2 linked regions of the Mus musculus genome follow. The protein of the gene in region 2 interacts with the protein of the main gene of each other region in a biochemical or structural test. Links are inferred from orthologs where the notes say so. Each region holds a gene or a part of one and is shown on either strand. Other genes may lie near its edges.

What was found.
Region 1: the proteins of Fyb (region 2) and Skap1 form a complex in vitro, tested with the Homo sapiens proteins (2 studies listed by BioGRID and IntAct, with this or other methods). The link is inferred for Mus musculus from reciprocal best matches to the Homo sapiens genes FYB1 and SKAP1.

Annotation. Positions count from the first base shown.
Region 1 is NC_000077.6:96,459,759-96,469,671, forward strand, and holds the start of Skap1 (src kinase-associated phosphoprotein 1), read left to right. Parts: upstream 1-4,832; 5' UTR 4,833-4,946; coding exon 4,947-4,992; intron 4,993-9,913. UniProt on the Homo sapiens protein: Positively regulates T-cell receptor signaling by enhancing the MAP kinase pathway. Required for optimal conjugation between T-cells and antigen-presenting cells by promoting the clustering of integrin ITGAL on the surface of T-cells.
Region 2 is NC_000081.6:6,576,241-6,586,241, reverse strand, and holds the start of Fyb (FYN-binding protein 1), read right to left. Parts: upstream 6,396-10,001; 5' UTR 6,322-6,395; coding exon of another isoform or gene 6,295-6,321; coding exon 5,196-6,294; intron 5,190-5,195; exon of another isoform or gene 5,089-5,189; intron 1-5,088. UniProt on the Homo sapiens protein: Acts as an adapter protein of the FYN and LCP2 signaling cascades in T-cells. May play a role in linking T-cell signaling to remodeling of the actin cytoskeleton. Modulates the expression of IL2. Involved in platelet activation.

The sequences.
Region 1 (9,913 bases), on a different chromosome or scaffold from region 2:
GAGAGAGAGAGAGAGAGAGAGAGAGAGAGAGAGAGCTCTTCAGGAACACCACTGTCCCTCTGTTATTTCTTTCCAGTGCCTCAATTGTTTAACCCACCAAGAAACAATTATCTCTTTTCATCTTATTTTCCAGTTATCATGCCTGGGAATATCCACCCACAGCTATGGCCTTGGCTCAGTCTGCCTGTCATGTGGATCAAGCCTTTAGACTATACAGCTTCTCAGGAGCCAAAGCCTCCTCTGGCAGAGGCTGTCACATTCTGAGTCCCTCCAACCCCCTCCTCAGCTTCCCAAGAGAACCAATCAAAGACAGGACGTGTTGGAGTCAGCAACTTCTTTGGCCTCCTGATCCTCTGCAGAGCTCATCGGTTCCCACTGTGGACGTCTACGTCTACTGTCTACGGTGGTCTTGGGGCTAGGGAAAGCAGAGTTCAAGAGAGGAGGAGAGTGGGAGGGAAGCGCAGTAACAAGATGATAAGATAAAGAATAAAAGGTTACTATTCAAAGGGACCCACAGTAACTGCTTTCTAGAACTGCTCCCAGGTTGTAACTATTTATCTTAGTATGGCTCTGATCCATCAGAACTTAGTCCAGTGCCTGGATCCTAATGCCAGTGTAGCTTCTGAATGGGGGCCCCTGGCTTAGAGCACTGAGTGGGAGCCTCATCTTGACTTTGATCCCCATAAAGATTCTTTTAACTGTCTGCATGTGTATGTGTGTGTGCACGCGCGCGCGTGTGTGGTGTGTGTGTGTCTTGTGTGTGTGTGTGTGTGTGTGTGTGTGAGTCTGCGTGTGTGTGTGTGGTGTGTATGTCTGTGTGTGTATTTGTGTGTATGTGTGTGTGGTGTGTGTGTGTGCGTGCGTGTGTGTGTGTGTGTGTGTGTGTGCTTAGTATACTTATAAGTAGAGGTCAGAGGTCAACCTTGGCTGTCATTCTTCTTTACTACTAGTAGTCCACTTTGTTTTTGAGATGGGATCTGCCACTGAGACCTGGGGTTCAGTGATAGGCTAGTCTTGATATCCATCATGTCTTAGGATTTGCTTGCTCCACCTCCCTAGCTATGGAATTACAAGTACCTGCCACTCTGCCTGCCCAGCTTCTTGGGTGGGTGCTGGGAATCTAACTCATCAAGTCCCCCGCTTGTGCTAGAAGCACTTGATTGACTAAGCGATTTCCCAATCACTTCTTTCTTCCTTTATTTCTTCTGAGGTCGTATCTCACGACCCTGTCCCAGCTGTGCAGCCTCTGCTGTCCTTGAGCTTTTGACAAGCGTTGGGAGTACAGTGTGTACCACCGTGTTCAGGTATCTTGAATTTTAAATGACCCTCCTATACTCTCTGCTTGGACCTCAGTGATAACCTGATGTGGGAATATTTTCTAATATGTGTGTTACCTACCTGCCCGCCTTGCTGTTTCAAACAGCAGAGAATTTACTTACGGGTGTGAGCTGGAAAGCGTGATTATTGAAGGTGCTCGTTTGTGGGGGTGTGTATAATAATAACCCCCTAAATTGAAGGGTTCGCTAATTCGATTTAACAAAACTCCTGGTAGGTGTTGGCAGCTCTGTGCTCTAAGACCACAGATGAGACGGATGTGATGTGCCATATTGGCATCTTTGCCTTTCCTCTGCCTTCAAGGTGGCACGATTGGTGTTGGTTTCTGGGGCCTTGAAAAGTGTATAGTGAGGCCGGGTTTTGGCACCGACTTTGCGTATCATCTCTCCTTCCATATCCCTTAATGAAGTGTGCAACTCTTGTCCTCATTAAGACCCAGCATTGTCAATAAAAGAGTCAATAAACCTGGTTGATGGGGCTGGGATGGAAAGGCTGAGATGCGGCTGCAGCACATCCACGGGGCAGACGTCAGCTCTGCCATGTGTCGTGACCCAGTGTTCGGGGATCAATAACAGGCTGAGGATAAAGCCTCAGGACCTGCCCCCTGCAGTCTCCTCCCCAGACCCACCAGGCCCAGTGTGGGGCAGTGCCAGCCAGCTCCGGCTTTGCTTGCAGTTGTTCCCGACCCCTTGATGTCTAGATGCCAGATGTTCTTGTTTCTTCCTGATTGAGCCCTTTGGACACCCTCTGGATGCATACTTAGCGCCCACCTGGCAAGAGAACATGCAGACAGCATCTCCAAGTAGCCCAGAGGCCAACATGGGTTCCATTCTCTGCATCCTATGTCTGCTGACAGTATGTGATGAGTCCCAGAGGACAGGGCATGCGTATTCTGCATGCTGTGTGGCTGGACTCCATTTCTGGCTGTCCTGCCTCTCTCTAGATACCCTTATCTTATCTAATTATACAAGGAATTTTAGATTAATTTCGTGGCCTCTGCTCCCTAGGACCCCTTATCTGTGGGGGCCTTGTATTTTCACCTTGTCATTCTTTTGTTGTTTGCCTTTAAGGGGTGATGGCCAGAAGGGGATGGCATTGGAATTGGGGTGGGGGAGGGGAGAAGGGGGAAGGCAGACAGATCTGGACCGCTGCCTGTGTGTGGAGACAGCTGGCTGCTTTCTTCCATGTCAGCCACATGGTACCTAGCCACACAGAACAGGACCTGGGCAGGGACTCGCCTGCTGCCAACCTCTCCAGATCTCTTTGATATTTCCGACAGAGCAGTAAAGGACTCTTGACTATCTCGGGTGTTTTTTTTTCTTTGCCTCTCTCCACCTCCTGCAAGACTCCTTCATGTCGTTTCCATGGCTACCCCCAATCAGATTTGGCTTCCTGCGAAATTGGATTTCAAAGGAGGACAGGGCTTCAAAGGAATTTGTCCATTTAACAGAATGTCATTAGGAGTGAGGCTGCCTGCTGAACCAGGGCCCTCAGATGATTAAGGAGGGGCAGCGCTCATGTGTGGAGGCAGGCTTCTGTCTGCAATGAGGAGCCTTGATGCAACATGACAATAGCGTATTGGAAACTGCCAGTCACCAGCACACACCACCTGACTTACACCTCCCTCTACCTCCATCGCTCCCAAACCCAGTCATCCACAGGGGAAGAGATGCAAGGAGAATATCTACCTTGTGCGGTTTTGCTTCTCCCTAGGTGGCAGGAAGCCTGGGGTTCTGTCCTTTGTCAGACAACTCCTGAGCACCTACCCTATGTGACCATGCTGACCAATGTCCTTAAATAAGGGGACGGGGCACTCTGGGTTCTCTTCAGATCCTAGAAACCTGCCTTTTACTAAAGAAAGAGGGAAGGGCTGTCCTTCTTTTCCCATTGCTGGAAGAAAAATGGAGGAAGTTTGTGCACTAGAGAGGGAAGCCTACCGCCCCCCTTTTGAAGAACAGTTTTATGTTTACAAAAAGAAGCATGTGTGTGAGCCACATAGCCTCCATGTTTAAACATGCACGCACCCCAAGTGATTTTAGAGCAACTTCAGTTTTATCTGGGAGACAGCAAGGTAGGAGGCAGCCTACACCCCCTCTGGAGCCTGGAAGAGGCAGCCCAAGCCTGTCACTATAGCTTCACCCAGTAAGAAGCAACACCATGGATTTGGGTTCTCTGGTGACCCCGACCGGGTTCTATCCCTTCAGTTCAATTTATTGCAACTTATAGGTGGGTTGTGAGGCCCTGAAACCAAGACCACTCCTTCTCAGGCGTCAGGACATGCTAAAGGCCACCAAAGTCCTTAAAAGTGAGGGTTCCTAAACTTGAGACTGCATCTTCCTGGGGTGTGTGCACACACTTATTCCAGGAGACATATACACCTGCCCTGTGCCCTTCTGAACGGTTTCTTGTCTTTGCTCTGCCTTCTACATTGAGATCAATATTATCTCCACCCCCAGGCAGATTAACAAATCGCTTACCTTCCTCCCTTCATGTGTTCCAGGACCACTCCCAATCCTTCTTACCTATTATGGGGATAGAATAGAATGAGAGAGGGAGAGAGGGAGAGAGGGAGAGAGAGAGAGAGAGAGATATGCAGGGGTCACATAATTACAGATAATTTTCTACCTGCAAAGTCTCCCCACCCTTGTAAAACCCCGGAGTCTGGTATTTAATACCAACAGGCATGCGCCAGTCCTCCTCTTGCTCTTTCGTATACCGTCCATGCTGCTCTACTTTCTTCAAGGCCTGTTGTACTATAAAATACCAATCAAATAAACAACCTTTGAGTACTTGTTCACTCACAAGCGGTCCACAAAAATAACAAAGGGTTCCACGTACCACTGCCCAAGTTCGTGCTGTAGCAACATCTTTGGTACCTACTACCACCCAAACTTGATCACTGACTGGCTGTACTTTGAGCGGGGAAGGGCACAGCCCTGTGATCTCGTTGATCACTTTCTTCCTTCCTCTGTTCCGAGAAAGAGCTGTTTCCCACCTTCTCTCAGCCTTTCACCTCCAGAGGGAAGGACATTCCCTCCGTGTCTCTCCATGGGTATTGCCTCTGATGCTGAGTCTTTCAAATGTTGGCGATCGGCATTGTCGCTGGGACTCCAGATTTTAATTTCTAACCAGCAGGGCTTTCCCCGACAGTGCGCTGGATCAGAACTGAGGCACTATATCTTTGGCAAGGACCAAGCTCTTTCTTGGATTCTGCCTCTGCACCCCAGTCCAGGAACAGCCATGGCCTTTTAAACCTACAGCCCCAAGGTCAAACTGCTCAGTGTTTAGATGTTTCCGCCAAAACCTAGCCTCCAAGGCTCTTGGGAATCTAGGCAATTTTTTGGTGAGGGGCTCAAAGGGCCACGCCATTGACTTTGCGTGCCACCTCAGTGGCACCAGTGCACCTGCGCCCGGGGTCCCGGGCTCCCGCCGCCGGCTGCGCGCGCCGCTTCCTGAGCGCGCGACCGGCGGCCCCGCCCAGCGCCTCCCCCCCCCCCCCAGGCGACAGCCGAGGTACAGGTGCCTGGGGTGCAGCTCGCTGCGCCCGCCGTCCGAGCAGGCACACGTCCCTTATCCCGCCTTCTGCTGCGGCCGCCCACTCGCTTCGCCAAATGCAGGCTGTCGCCCTCCCGGAGGAGATCTGTTGGCTCCTGGAAGGTAACTAACTCCTGGTTCAGTGCCAGACCTCTGTCCTGACCCATCCCGTCCGGGAGGGCCTCTCAGTGCTGGGCTGAAGGCAAGAAAGGAGACACTAGGGTACTAGTTCTTTAGCCTGGTCACTTACCTACTATAAGTTCCAGGCTTCCAGAGTCCTTAATCCCCCAATTGTCCCCAAAGCCCTAGCCTCTCTCTCATCCTCAAGGTCCCCACCTCTCCCTTGAGTTACATATTTTCTGTTCCTTCTAGGCATCTGTATCACTTCCAGATGCATCAACACTTCCAGGTCTCTAAGGTCTTACGGGTCAGTTCATGGCCTCCCTTGACACCTTGCTTGGTCTTGAACCTGTCACCCCGGGAAATCCCTGAGGTGTGCAGTGATTAGGTCTCATCCTTCCCAGTCCTGACTCCTCACCTTGTGGAAGACCCACACCTTTCTGGGTAGACATCTCCTAGGCACACAGTAGGGCTCTGGAGATTTATGGTCTTTGGGCCAAGCCTGGTGGTTAGGGGACGTCTTATAAGTGTGAGAGTCATTTCCTAACCTGAAGACTTCTAGGGGTGTCATAAACCTCAGAGTATGGTGTCCTTCCCTTCCCTAAGTGTCCTGTTGTGATGGTTTCACCTTTAAAACTGTCCTTTACAGTTAAGGTCACACTTTCCGACACTCAACATACACTCCGAAGAGACTTCCCTGATGGACGGTATCTTGTGCTTGGCTCCCATGGTGAAAATCAGTTTTACTCATTTTCCTATGACTGCCCTTCCCTTCCTGGGAGGACAGAAACCTGGAATCTGCAGTTGCATAAGGGTCTCAAGAGGAAACCGCTCAGAATTAAGCCTTTCGGCATCCAGGCGACACATCTGACACATCGTTAACAGATGGCCTGCTTTGGGCAGGTCATGATTTTGGCAAGCTGCATTCTTTCCAGTTTCTCTCAATTTAATTGGTTTTATATCTCCATTACCTTGTTATCTTGGGTATAAATGCCTCCTAATCAAGGATTTGGCCAGTGCTTTTGGATTCTGTCTGTAGCCCTGTTTCTATTCTGGATAGCGTCTCTGTAAGAGTTGGCGGCTATGTGTTTCTTTTGAGGCGATGTTTCAAAAATCTATTTTAGAAAAAGGTTTTTATCTATTTTTGGAGTGTATTGTGTGGGTGTGCATGTGCCACAGCCTGTTTGTGGAGTTCGGGTGGCAACTGTTGGGAGTTGGCATTCATCTTGCATCTTCTGGTGATGGGGATAGAACTCATGTCTTCAGGCTTGGTGGCAAGCACCTTTAGTCACCACCACCCTCTCTTGTACTTAGGGGATTGAATCTAGAACCTTACACAGGGTCATTAGACATTCCACTACTGAGCTATGTTCTCTAAATTATCTAAAAATCCACTTAGCTTGTAAACCAAGAAACTGTAGAAATAAAGTTATTTGGAAGATAGAAGAAATCACCAGGCATCTAACGAGATTTAGCCAGTGCTGGTTCAATATTAGGTACATAGAGGAAGTTGTACAATTGTCTTTGGTTTTTAGAGAAGGAATTGCAGCCACAAGTTGAATTCTACCCTTGTATTTAAAGACCGAGTGTCTCTTTTTATTGGTGTCAGTCATTTTATGAGAAGAAACCCACTTTACAAGCTTGCTAAATGTCACTTCAGTTTGGTGCACAGGCATCAATAGAAAAATTCCCTCTTATTTTCAGAGGCTAGCAACACAGTCCCCTCCTCCGACATTTTTGATGTGCAGTTCTTTATTGTTCAAAACTGACACTTTGGTAAACAACTCATTTTTGCACCTGCCGCCTTCCTTTAGCTCAGATCGTTTTCTTGTTAGCTGACTGTTTTTAATTGAAGTCTTCAGATCTCCTTCTAAAGCAGAACCTTTGTTTGCTGACAAGCAGAGCCGGGTATGAATGGAGATTAATTGCGTGTCACATACTTCTGTATCAAACTTGCTGTGTCTTAACAATCTCTGATAGTGCGCGGGTCTTTAGAAGATAGGGAGGAGTCTGAGGTTCCACTGTGAGGTGCTTCACTGGTTAACTGTTTCTTTAAAGCCATCCCTCCCTTTAAACGTGTAATTCTGCTCTTGATTCTGAAGTGGAGGGAAAAATATAAAGTGGGATATAACCAATGATTCTATTGAAAAGTGGTTAAAAATATGTTTTTGAAAGATTCATGTGATGATAATAACATATTGGCTATAGGTTTTTGTTTTTAATGGAATGCGGTCTCTATCGTAAAACAGTCAAATGATTCTCTGTGTTACAACTTGTGAATATTAGACATCTAAAATGGCTGTCAATTTGTTGTCTGGGTCTGGTTATACGCCTCCTCCCACCACACACTTCTTAAGGTTCACCGTTAGCAGTTAAGAAATCTGTAGGTCCTTGATCTCTATATAGTCACTCAGTGGGAGGGAGTCACAGGATATGAGCTGTGACTGTGGCTGCCACACAGCACGGGGGTGGAGTTTCCCCAGTGAGTTACTGCTTTCATAAACCAAGTCAGACGCATTTGCACAGTGATTTAATGCCGGCCATCACAGCCATAACTTAAACATTTATCTATTTGTAACAATAGGAGCATAAAATGACAGGGACATTTTTTTGATATAATGTGTTCGCTTTTAAAAAAATAAAATATGCAAGACACTGTGCAAGGTTTATACCGAGATTTTTGCATAATGAAGGTCTGGAATTAATTTTAAGTATAAAATTTTAAACATTTGAAGATGTCTCATTTGACGTGGAAGTCCCACTTCTAGGAATGTGATATAGAAATTAAATATATGTTTATATATTGCAGATGTCAATGAGGTGGGAAAAGTAGGTGATGGTCAATTGGATCATGGGACATCCATCTTAGTTTGCATCAAAAGAACTTGGAGATCTGTGTGTCTGTCTGACGTCTGTCTATCTTGGCTTGCAGTATGTCCATGGAGTGTTTTTAAGACTAAAAAGATGTAATAAACAACAGCACATATAATGATCCTTTTTCTATTTGAAACCAAAAAGCCAAAAAAAAAAAAAAAAGTTCCATATATTATATAGGTTTGTGTAAGCCTCAGGACAGTGTCCTGTCTCTTAGCAGTTTCTTTTTAAGGACAGAGAGACTCACAGGGGTTAATGATTTTTAATACATATATCTCCAGTTGGTTGAATTGTGACAAAAGCCATGTACTACTTCTTTAATCAAGAAAGAGTGGTTAGATAGGTTTAAAAAAAAAAAAAAAAGACAAACAGAAGCCCAGAAGTTAAAGGGCCAGTAACTTCAGGTGTGATTGTTTTTCCTGTTTAGCCATGGGAAGTTGTGTGGAAAGTGTACATTAAAACAAAACAAACAAACAAACAAAAAAAAAAACCCACCTTCTCTGTTGTTTTTCTGGCAAATGACAAAGCTCAGAGAAGCTTCTAGTATCCCAGGAAACAGCCTTTTCCATCGGCTCTACTGAGCTCCCACACAGAGACAGAAAGTGGCCCCGTATCAGTGAATAAGGCACGGTGTAGATAAGGAATGCAGGGCATCTTCCGCTTCATTGAAAGAACAGGAAATATTCAGGACTGTTTTTAAGTAGTCAGGCTTCAGATGTAGCAGTTATCTTTTGTTTTTGTTTTTGTTTTTGCTTTTGTTTAGTGATAACGATGCTGAAAACAAGAACAATAGGTTGGCAGCTTGTAATCTTTGTTGCACAGATATAAACATAGTCTCTTCTTCCTAGTCTTTCTAGTGCCACCCCACCCCCACCCCCACCCCATGTGTGTGTCTCTGCCTCTGTCTCTCACTCTTTTTAAGTAAGAACCAGAGAAGGAGGTGCAGCAGATAGATAGGAAACCTGCTGACTTCACTCTGATCGCTGATAGACCCAGCCGCCTACCCAGTGCCGCCATGGGGCTCAGAAGATGGACTGAAGCCCAAACATCACTGCCTGGCTCCCTAGCACTGGCCCTCATATCCTAATGGTTGCTTACTTTTAAACTTCAGCAGTCGCCCTTGGTGGTGATGCATACCTTTAACTGGAGAAGCAGAGGCAGGTAACTCTCTGTGAGTTCGAGGCCAGCCTGAATTCCAGGACAGGAGGGCTACACAGAGAATCTCAACAACAAACAACAACAAAAAAACCCTCAGCAGTCATTAGCCATTTCCTTCTAGATAGTTCTCCAGAGTGGTAGATCTAGATGAAAGGATAAAACTTCTCTCAGTCTCTCTAGATAGCAAAGGTTCTTTTAAATCGTCTAACTCGTAAACATCTTTGATCAATTCTTTAAAAACAGGAATTAGGAACTTTCCTCCATCTTGTCAACCAGCTACACTGGTCTTGGAATGAGTAACATTTAAATACTTCTAAACTCAGTATTGTTTGGGTGAATGTCTGCAGTTCAAAACTGTTTCTGACTGGGATATTCTTGGTTGCCTTGTGATTGCCTGTGTCTGATTTATTCGTTCATATGGAGCTGGGGACTGAACCCAAGGCCTCATGCATGCTAGTCGGAGATTTCTCTCTCTCTCTCTGAGCCAGATTCCAGTCTGCTTTGCACTCGATATTCTGCCATTTCTTACCCTCGTAGTGAAGCTGAGGCCCTTCGCTATTCTGTTGGTTGGATCTGTGTCGTTGACGTCTCTGGAACATTAGATAATTGAGTATTTTGGAGCTATGTGTAAAAGTAGGCATAAGGGGCATCTTTGGGATGGAGATATAGTTCACTGGTAAAGTGCTTAGCTGGCATTCCAGAGTCAGAGACCTTGGTTCAGTTCCCAGTACTCTCTCGGTGTGTGTGTGTGTGTGTGTGTGTGTGTGTGTGTATATGTGGTGTGTGTGTGTGTGTGTGTATATGTGGTGTGTGTGTGTGTGTGTGTGTGGTGTGTGTGTGTGTGTATGTGGTGTGTGTGTGTGTGTGTGTGTGTGTGTGTGTGTGTGTGTTG
Region 2 (10,001 bases):
CATAGGTGACAAGCAAAGCTCCTAACCTGTTTCCTAGACCCAGAAGCATTTTGGGAGGGGAAGACAGTGATTCTAGAAAAAACCCTGTGAATTCTCACTGGGACATTCTACTTCAGAAGTAGGCAGAGGGGTAAGAGAATAGCCTGGGTAAGGTCAAGAGAAATCCTTGATAGGGAGGCCCCAAATATCATAAAATGGATCGGTGGCTAAGAAGCACTGAACAGGAGCTCAGAGAACAGCAGACTCTGGGTCCCCAGTAAGGGCTGCCCTCAAATCCTGCACAGTTAACAAACACTGCGGACAAAGGCATTTAAAGCCATGCTTACATCTGAAGTCATATTTAGAGGGGATGTCAGACTTATCAGCCTGGATGATGACGTCAGACATCTGTCAGATCAAAAGGCATGGGGTGATCCCTGTGTGTAGGGATAAGATTCTTCGGATGAGCCCAGGAACAACAGAGGTGCAGCATCTCTCGGGAAATAGCTGGTGTGGTGTCAGGAATAGCCTGGCTAAATTTCTAGACTTCTGAGACAAAGGTTTCTCCAAGAATTCTGATAGAAAACAAATAATTTTCAAAGGAATAAACACAGGAGAACCTCTGAATTTTCCGCAGTAAATTTACAACAGAGGCTGTGTAAATGCTAGTTGATGTGGTAAGAGGTTGGATTTTTACAAAATCCAAGGGGTGCTACTGGGATATACACCTTTCTGGGATGGTTTCATCAAGAGAACTCTTTATGCCAAGGACCAAGGTTATCTTGGGCGGGAGATACATGTCTAGAACTCAGTGAGGAAAGACTTGTACATTGAAGGGAGTCATTCTGAGGTATTTATGTGAAAGGGTTAAACCTGGGTAAGATGGCTAATTGGTTAACCTTAACAGTTTCCTCTATCGCAGGGTTGCAACCTGTGATAGAAAGAAGGACCATAGATTTTTGAAAAACAGATTTCTCAGGCTCAAGAAGGGTGAGAGAACTGAAGTTAAGACAGGGGTCTAGGCTCAAAGTGGAGAGAGAGAGAGAGAGAGAGAGAGAGAGAGAGAGAGAGAGAGAAGACTCACATAATTTGGAGAAGGCCTCATTTCCCTGGTCAGGCTGAAGCACACAGATGCATAAGCTCTGATTCATCTGTATGCTGAAGAGCCTTGCCTGCAGATTCAGTGTCCCAATATATTCCAACGAGACATCCTTGGATCAACTCTAGATAGGCTGCATTCTTAAATTCCAAGTGTACAGTGGGATTGCCAACCATGAAAACACTCTGCTGTACCCTCGGATCTTTTTGTCGCTTCTGAGCCTTGAATCCCTGTCCCTATCATGACCTGTTCCTATCAGCAACAGGGTAGGAGAGGCTGCGGTACACTGAGATAAAGCATTTTTTCAGTACATACAAACCCAATGAGGTCATATCACAAAAGCACATGTCAAAAGATGATGGTGGACCTGAAGGAGGCAGTGATAACTCTGGGAACCGTGCAGGAAAGTCTCACTGTCTCCTAGAAACAGGTTACCTGCTTAACATAACCCAAGATCCTCTGCTTTTCTGCCTTAGGGTACTAAGCCAGGAGCTCCAGGTGACCTCTGCTCCAATCTCAAACCAAGATTTTTTTTAAGTTTCTCTTTAGAGGCTTATTTATCTTATTTTATGTGTATGAGTGTTTGGGCTGCATCTATGTCTATGTATCACATGCATGCCTGGTGCCCATGGAAAGCAGAAGAGGGGGTAGGGTTCCCTGGAACTGGAGTGACAGATGGTTGTGAGCTGCCAAGTGAGTGTTGGGACTAATCCCAGGTCCCCTGCAAGAACAGTAAGTATTCTTAACCCCTCAACTATCTCTCCATCCTCTGCTAAACTCTTCCTGGGGTCAAGGTTTCTGTCAGCTGTACTAGTTGAAGAAGCAAAAGCACAATACAAGAAGGGACATGCAATCCTAATGGGCTCTGGTGAATGCTGGCCCTGGATTCATTCCTGGAGCTGTTAAGGCACCATACTGATTATTTCCAAAGTTAGCAATAGAATAAAGCAAGAAAGAGGGCTGAATCGAATGTGTTCTGCTAGGCTTTCACTACCTCCTACACATGAAACCGACAGCTGGGTCTGGCCGGTGCTCAAGAGCCCAGATATTGTGGTGACTAGTACCAGAACACCTGGGAAGAAGCCTTCTAATGGAGTCAAAAGCAAAGAGAGTTTAGAGAACCTGCTGATGTTTCAGTGATCATGATCAATAGCTTAAGCTTTTTGTGGCAGTGAAGGCTTGGGATTACTGGGGAGTCCAAAACTCTTATTAGCTCCACATTCAGAAAGCCATGTGATATAGTCATGCTTACAGTTTCCAGGTAAGATGCTGAGAAGATATTTTTGGGGTGGATGCTTTGTGCAAAATGATTTTGTGTCAAAGCTCCATGTAATTGGATATGCAGCCAATCTGTGAAAATAATTAGTGAACTGTGGGGGGCATATTACAATTTAATTCTGAAAGGGCAGAGAACAACTAACTAACTTCTTACTAACATGCCTCTGCAGAATGATAGACCTCGGAAAGTGATGAAAATTCACATTTTTTTTTTTCTATTCCAGAAATGAGAGAAGAATGGGAAGCCAACTGCTCTCTGCTCTCATGGAGCCTGCAGGGGCATTGAGAACAAATCTTTAAAGGACAGATTTTAACCGAAAGACAGAGGGAGACACAGGAATGTGGGGTCTGTGGGTACCATTTACACTTTTTCATCATTTCAAGGGATCTTATGTTTCCTGAAAGGCAGCCAGCATCGAGTTAGGACAGGGATGAGGACACAGACTGCAATCACAGAGACCTGACCCTGCTTAGTTAAGGCTACACTTTGGCAAATTTCCTAATTGTGCTGAAATAGAATTCCATTTCATCGCTTAGAAAGAATAAATAAAGTAGGGTTGTATAGTATTATATCAAAAGTCCTCTATAAATGATAAAGATTTATCTGAATATAGAAACGGAAAAGGGGTCATGAAGGAGGGAAAGATATTGAAGTTTTGAAAGCCAACTGGACCATTACGTAGAATTTTGTTAATTTGGACACTGTTGTAATTACCTTGAACAACAATAAAAGTACCCTGCTTAGAGTAAGTCACTACCTTCACTGCAAAGTCTTTGACTCCAATCAGTATCCTTACATCTTAGAAGATTGAAAAAGGAACCACCATTGATAAACAGTTTTTCCAAAGCACACAGTCTCTTTCCTTTCCCACCTTATTGCAAGTGAATGCCCAGTGCCCTGAATTGCACCAGGCTACAAGTCACTTATTGCAAAGCTCTTCTGTGTGAAACTTCACATCTAGCCAGGCATGGTTATCAAGGGTATTCGTCAGAGCTGGGGGGGGGGGGGACAGGACTGTGAACTCAGAAAACCTTGGTGGCCATAGAAGATGTCTAGAGTTTCCCTGCAAGCTGTCATTCTGAGTTAGAGAAACACATCAAACTGGGCACATTTTAGTAACTCAAGAGGAGAAGCACTTTCTGTGGACAAACTGCCCTTGAAGAGACCAGTGTTGGGAATAACACGCTATGGGAGCCTGGCTCTGTGATCTTTCTCCACTTCTAGTAGAATTGGATGGCTTCTTGGCCTCAGTCAGAACCAGGTAGCACAGTCTAAGGGTGACAATGCCCTGCGCTGCCTAGACTGTACCTTATTTTCTTGCTCACCTTTGTACTAGGCAGAGAGAGCCTATGGGAAGATCTTCCAGAGACAATGATTATGCCTACGCCTGCTTAAATCAGACTCGTTTTTGTTTGTTTCTTTTTAAGGGAGAGTCTCATGTAGTCCAGGATGACTTCTAACTCGGTTCCAAGACTTTGAGCTTCTGATCCTCTTGCCTTCAACTCTCAAGTCCTGAATCACAGGCCTGTACCATCACGCATAGATTCAGACCAGTGGCTCTCAACTTGTGGATTGACCTTCCAAGGGCTCACCAAAGACCCTCAGAAAACACAGATATTTACACTACAATTCCTAATGGTAGTAAAAGTACAGTTATGGAGTAGCAATGAAAATAGTTTTAAGGTTGGGAGTGGGGTCACGAGAAAGTGAAGAACTGATTTCAAAGGCTGCAGCATTAGGAAGGTTGAGAACCACTGCTCTTGATGACACTTTGGAGATGCATCCGACTTACAGTGGTATCGTCTCTCGTAAGTATCATTCTCTTTCCATCTCACAATGGACAGCACTTGGGTAACATTTGCTAGGATATTAATCACCGCAAATATGGGAGAGCTTTTCTCATCAAGACACAGGGTGTCAAGTCTTTACCGAGACTTTCAGTATCAAATTCTACCACATGCCAAAACATTGCAATGACATCTTGGGAAGAAAACCGGGGGCTGGTTTTCTTGAAGGGCAACAAGGCACCCATTGTCTGCCTTTGTTTTCTAACTGTGTATTCCTTTGTAAACTGGAATAGTACAGATGTTTCTGTTTTGGGAAAGTAAACAAACAAACAATCAAGAAACCAACAAAACAAAACAAAACAAAACAAAAAAACCAAAAACAGCTAGAATACAAAGCATGGTCTCCTAAAATCCCTGCCACTGTCCTATTTGAATCTTGGGCTTAGGGGACATGATGAACAGTGTAGATATTTGAAGTGACTTAGAAGAGGAGTTTCAACTTCACAACATTGACATTTTGGCCTGGATAGTTCTGTGAAGGACAGGAGTAAGTGGCTCTATTTACAAAATATCATTAGCTTCATCCATTGTGACAATCAAACATGCCTCCAGAGAATGCACACATCCTTTGGCTATCAAATTTGATTCTTTCTAGAGTACTGACTTAGACTACTCTCTTCTCTCTGTCAACGGGCAGCATAACTTCTTCAAGTTACAGAAATGAAATACAACCAAGGGAATAAATGCAATGGTTATCCTTAAGCAAAACCAACTATCCGTTAAATAGGTATATTTCTTCCCTATTGTCTCCCTAAAATGTCAGTGCTCCCCACCCCAAGGTCCTTTCTTACAGAATGCTCAACCAGAACTTGGATTTGCTACTCTCTCAGACCTCCTACACAACGGAAAAAAAAATGCCAAAAGAAAATTGACCCTATACTCACATGAGCATCAGTTATGCAATCATTCCTTGCTCTAAAGTTTCCCCCAGGAGCTGAAACACTCAGTTGTGTGAGCAAACCACAGCTACCAGCAATGAGAAACAACTCACTGTTTGCAGAGTCAGCCTTTCGGAATCTGGTCAGGTCAACGTTGGGTGGTCTGTTGGGCTTGGGTGGAGGCGGGCCCAAGACGGACAGGGGTGGCAGGGCCTTCTGCTTCGGGGTTGCAGAATTCTTGTCTCCTTCTTTCTCCTGACTTTGGCCCCACGGTGTCCCCGCTGTCAGCTTGGAAGGGGCCTTAGGGAATCTGGCCGGCTCTTCTTGATTCAGTTTGTTCAGAAAGATGTTCTTTGCAAGGTCTGTTTTCCTATCTTCTTTTTTTTCTTCAAAGTTTTTGGAGAGACCCGGGCTCCCTCTGCTCGCAGCAGGTTTCAGAACCACTCCAGGAAAGGGTGAACTTGGTGCTCCATGGTCTTTATCCTCTGGGTCTTCCTTAGGTGGTTTGAAAGGGGCGCCCTTGGACTTGGCGCCCAACTGCACTGGGGATCCTTTCTGGACAGGCACGTTCTTAGAAGTGTTCTCTTCCTGGGAGTCCTCTGTGCTTAGGGATGGCTTCTGGCCAAAGGTGTGTCTGGGAAATCGGGGTTTGGAGTCAGTATCTTGTGCCGCTGGCATGAACTTGCTCTTAGCTCCAGCTACCTTTGAGAATCCTGGCTTCAGTTCGTTTTCTGGGACTGGGGGAGCGGGCCCTGGCTTCGGTCCTGGCGTCTTTAAGTCAGACTCTTGGTTCAAATTGTGAAGTTTATTCCCAGGTGGCCGTAAAACCACAGGTTTGGAATCTTCTTTGGTCAAGCTGGTGGGTTTGGGGCTTACAGGTTTCAGGAACCCCACTTTGACCTCAGGGTCTCTAGAAACTGAGTTTGGCTGTGTTCCAAATCTTGGGCTCCCTCCAGTAGGTTTTAAAAACGGGGGTTTAGGTTCCTTCTCAGGCTTCTCCTCGTAGGTAGGTTTCGCTGCCAAGGGTGGTTTTGTGGTCCCAAATTTAGGCATGCTGCTGGGTCCTGCGGGCGGGCTGGCATTTCCTTGGTTGTCAAATAAATTCTTTCTTGATTGTATTCCAGAAGGCGAGCTTTGTCCTGCAACTTTGAAGGGCCTGCTGCTGGTGGCGGCCTCCTCTGTCGGGTTACTCCCCGTGTTGAACTTCGCCATGAGGGATTTTACATCTGTTTTTCCATCCTACAAGCACAGGGAACAAAAACCAGCTGAGAGTCAGAAATCTCACTTGCAATTTAAAATACTGTACCTTCAAGGGTTTCCTGATCTGAGGCAAGAGTGCTGGGGTGCCGGCAAGCTGCTGATTGGTTGACCAGATATTGTAACATTTAAGTTCCTCTATGGCAAAACAAGTTGTGAATGTTTCTCGCGAAGGAAAGGCTAGGGCTGTGTTTAAACTTCTGTTGTTGGTCGTACAGGGACACAATCATTTATCTTAAAAAACGTTTCTCTTCTCTTTCCTGGTCTGCCTCGCTATCTTGTTGGAGATATCTGATTCTGTATTTGTTTACATTTTTTGCTTCACTGAAAAACATACAGCGGTGGCTACCAAATGGATTTTCCCACTTTTTACAACTGAGACTCATGTGGAAACTGGACTTCAAAACGAAAGTAGGCACTGTAAACTCAGGCTACATGCTTTTTTTTTTAACCCAGCAAAGCAATGCTTAGCATCAGTGTGCTGGCCCGTGCTTCCCTGTTCCTGTTGCGTTTAAAGTGCGTTTGCTGTCGGGGAGGTGTTACAGAACAGCCCAGCCCTTCTAAAACGAAAGAAGGTTTCCTTATTATTTGCAAATCCAGAGTGCTGTTGTGTGGCTGTATGCAGACTAACGGGACATGAGCTAAACCCACGGGACAGCATGGGCTGAACAACAGGCCAGCAGAAGGAATTGCCTCGTTTCCAGATCTTTCTCTTCAATAATGACTTTTACCAGTCCTCTGAGAGGTCCTGCCTCACCTGCCTTCCTCATAAGAATTAGGAAATTATGCAGTAAAGGTATCAGATAGTCACCCTTTTTTTTTTTTTTGTTGTTGTTAATATAGTCCCGTTTAACCTGGGAGAATTAATGGTGTCTTTACCCTTTCTTTCAAAAACAAGGAGTTTGAGCTGGAGATGAGGCTCAGCTGAGAGACAGAGAGAGAGAGAGGGAGAGAGAGAGAGAGAGAGAGAGAGAGAGAGAGAGAGAGAGAGAGAGAGAGAGAGAGAAAACCTACTTAGCATCTAACATCACTAAACCCTGTCTCATGTGCTCAGCATTCAATAAATCAGGTTGGTGGCGTACTCTGTAATGCAGGAGGTAGAGACAGGAAGATCAGAAGTTTATGAAGGTTAAGGTCATTCTTGGCTACACAGCAGGTTTGAGACAAGCCTAGGCTATGTGAGATCATGCCCGCCCCCCACACTCCCCCCCCCCAAAAGGATAAAAAAACAGGAAAAACTTCCAGGGCTCTAAAGCTTGATGAGAAATATGAAATGGTAGACAGAAGATATAGCTGGGTGATGGAGCAGGAGCTCAGCATGGGTAAGGTCCTGGGTTTGCTCCTTAGTGTACACACACACACACACACACACACACACACACACACGCACACACACACGTGCACGTAAGCGTGTGCACACACACACATGAGTACACGCATACACCCCCCCCCCCAAAGTTTTCTTTCTGTTTAGAAGGAAGTTTGTTTCTGAGAAAGAATTTCTGATTATCCCTTCCCCTCTACTAGTATTGTTCATATTCTTTATGTATAGCTTCTTTTAGGTTTATAAAACAAGGTGAAATAGCAAAGTGATTAAGAATGTCAGCTCGGGAGCCAGGTAGCAGGGGATATTAATGCGTTTTCTTATCTTCTCACTGCAAACAACGTCTAGGCGCTGCTCTTAGGCAGGCACGTGTATAAAGCAGTAGAGGACATTGGCACATCCGAGGGCTTCCTGTTTTTGTATAAAGAAGACACTTAGTGATCGTCTGCTCTCCCTCCTCATTGCACTGCTGGGGAACAAGGTCATTCATTCCCCGCTGTGGCAGCTTCAAGTCTAGCACATCCCAGGGGGAAAACCTTGAAATGTCTCTGGCCACGGTCAAGCACTGTGCCACATTTAGTTCCAAAAATATAGAAGTTGTACATTAAGGATGGAAGCTTTAGTCTTGGCTGCTAATCCAGATCCAGGAGAGCCTGCAAGTGTCGGAGCTAAAGGCACGGGCCTTGGAGTTATTGACTGAGGCTCAAGCCTTGACTTTGCCGTGTAGCATAGCATCTAGCAAGTGATCGACTTTTCCCAGTCTGCTTCCTTCATCTCTGAGATCAGAGCTGGAATTCCATTTCTCACTGGAGTTTTGTTTGTTTTGATAAAGACTAATAAACAGGTCAATACAAGTAGTTAGGTGTTTAGCTAAAGCACTTGCTTAGCAAGCACAAGGCCTTGGCTTTGGTCCTCAGCTTCAGACACACAATAGCAAACAAAAAGATCAAGGGTCGAATGTCACACATATGCAGTGATTTTTTTCTGCCATAGTAATGATTTCTAATTCATTCATAATATATCATTGTCTTTTCCAGACAGATCAAAAACTTGAAATTACTTACTGTCCCTGTGAACAAACACACTCGCAAATGACACATAGATAATGATGCTTAAGTTTGATTCACCCGTACTCTTGAGAGTTTTCACTGGGAAGGAAGGAGCAACAAGTTCCTTTGTGAGGAACACACACACACACACACACACACACACATGCATACACATAGATACACATAGATACACACACACATGTGTGCATATACACACACACAAATACCTTGCACACAGATCTACCTTTCCACCTTCTGTTTCCACTTAAAAATTGGGAGCCCCCCACCCCCAAAGCCCAAAATCAAATCAAACCAAAACTCAAACAACCTGGAAGCCCGTGCTTCTGGACTTTGCTTTCTTCTGGCAACCTTGTGGGTTGTAGGATTCCTGTAAAGCTTGGGTTGTTAAATATTCCCCATGTCAGCTCTGCGTTCTCTCTTTGCATAGAGAGGTGTTTATTATTTCAGGACCTTCCTTATCCCCACTACCCCAAATGTCACTATATCTCCCTGGCTGCCTGGAACTGGCAGCGTATACCAGCCTGGCTTTGAACTCACAGTGCTTATCCCACCCTGCCAAGAGTGCTGGGATCCCGAGGATGTCCCGCTTCTCTTGGCATTTAAGCGCTTAGCCCTGTAAAGGTGAGCTGAGCTCTGTCCTACCTGCTCAAGTGCTGGGTATCAGATGGAGAGCTTGGAGTCGGGAGCTCTCCCAGGGAGCTACGTTCCGGCCTGTTTATTCCAAGAGGCATTTCATGGTCTGGAAGACCTCAGAGCCTTATGTTTTAGGTAAATCAACATTTCATACCAAGTTACCCAAATTTCTCTTTGTAAGTCATGTGAAGGGATTTTTTTTTGATTATTTTTAGTTGATACATGCCTCTATTTTACTATGACCAAATACTTGACAAGGGGTGACTTGAGGGTGAAGAACTTATTTTGGCTCGTGATTTGAGGGTACAACTCTTTCTACAGTAGTGTACTGTACTTTTAAATAGTGTGCTCTCTAGCATTCCCATGCCCCTAGATATGCATCTACGGAGCTGAGTTCTACCCTCTTCTGTATCACATCATTGATAAATATTTGAGGGGATAAAAGGCTATTACCAGAGATGGATTTTGAAATTCCCTGTTGTTTTAAGTCATTCTCTTCTTTTCGGCTTAGGTATTGAATCAGTGGGATTCTGACGGTGAGTCGCGTGCTCTACTTCCAGGCCACATTCTTAACACTTGCCAACATTTTAAAATACAAAAGAAATAAAAGATTCATGAATGATGGGTAGCTAATG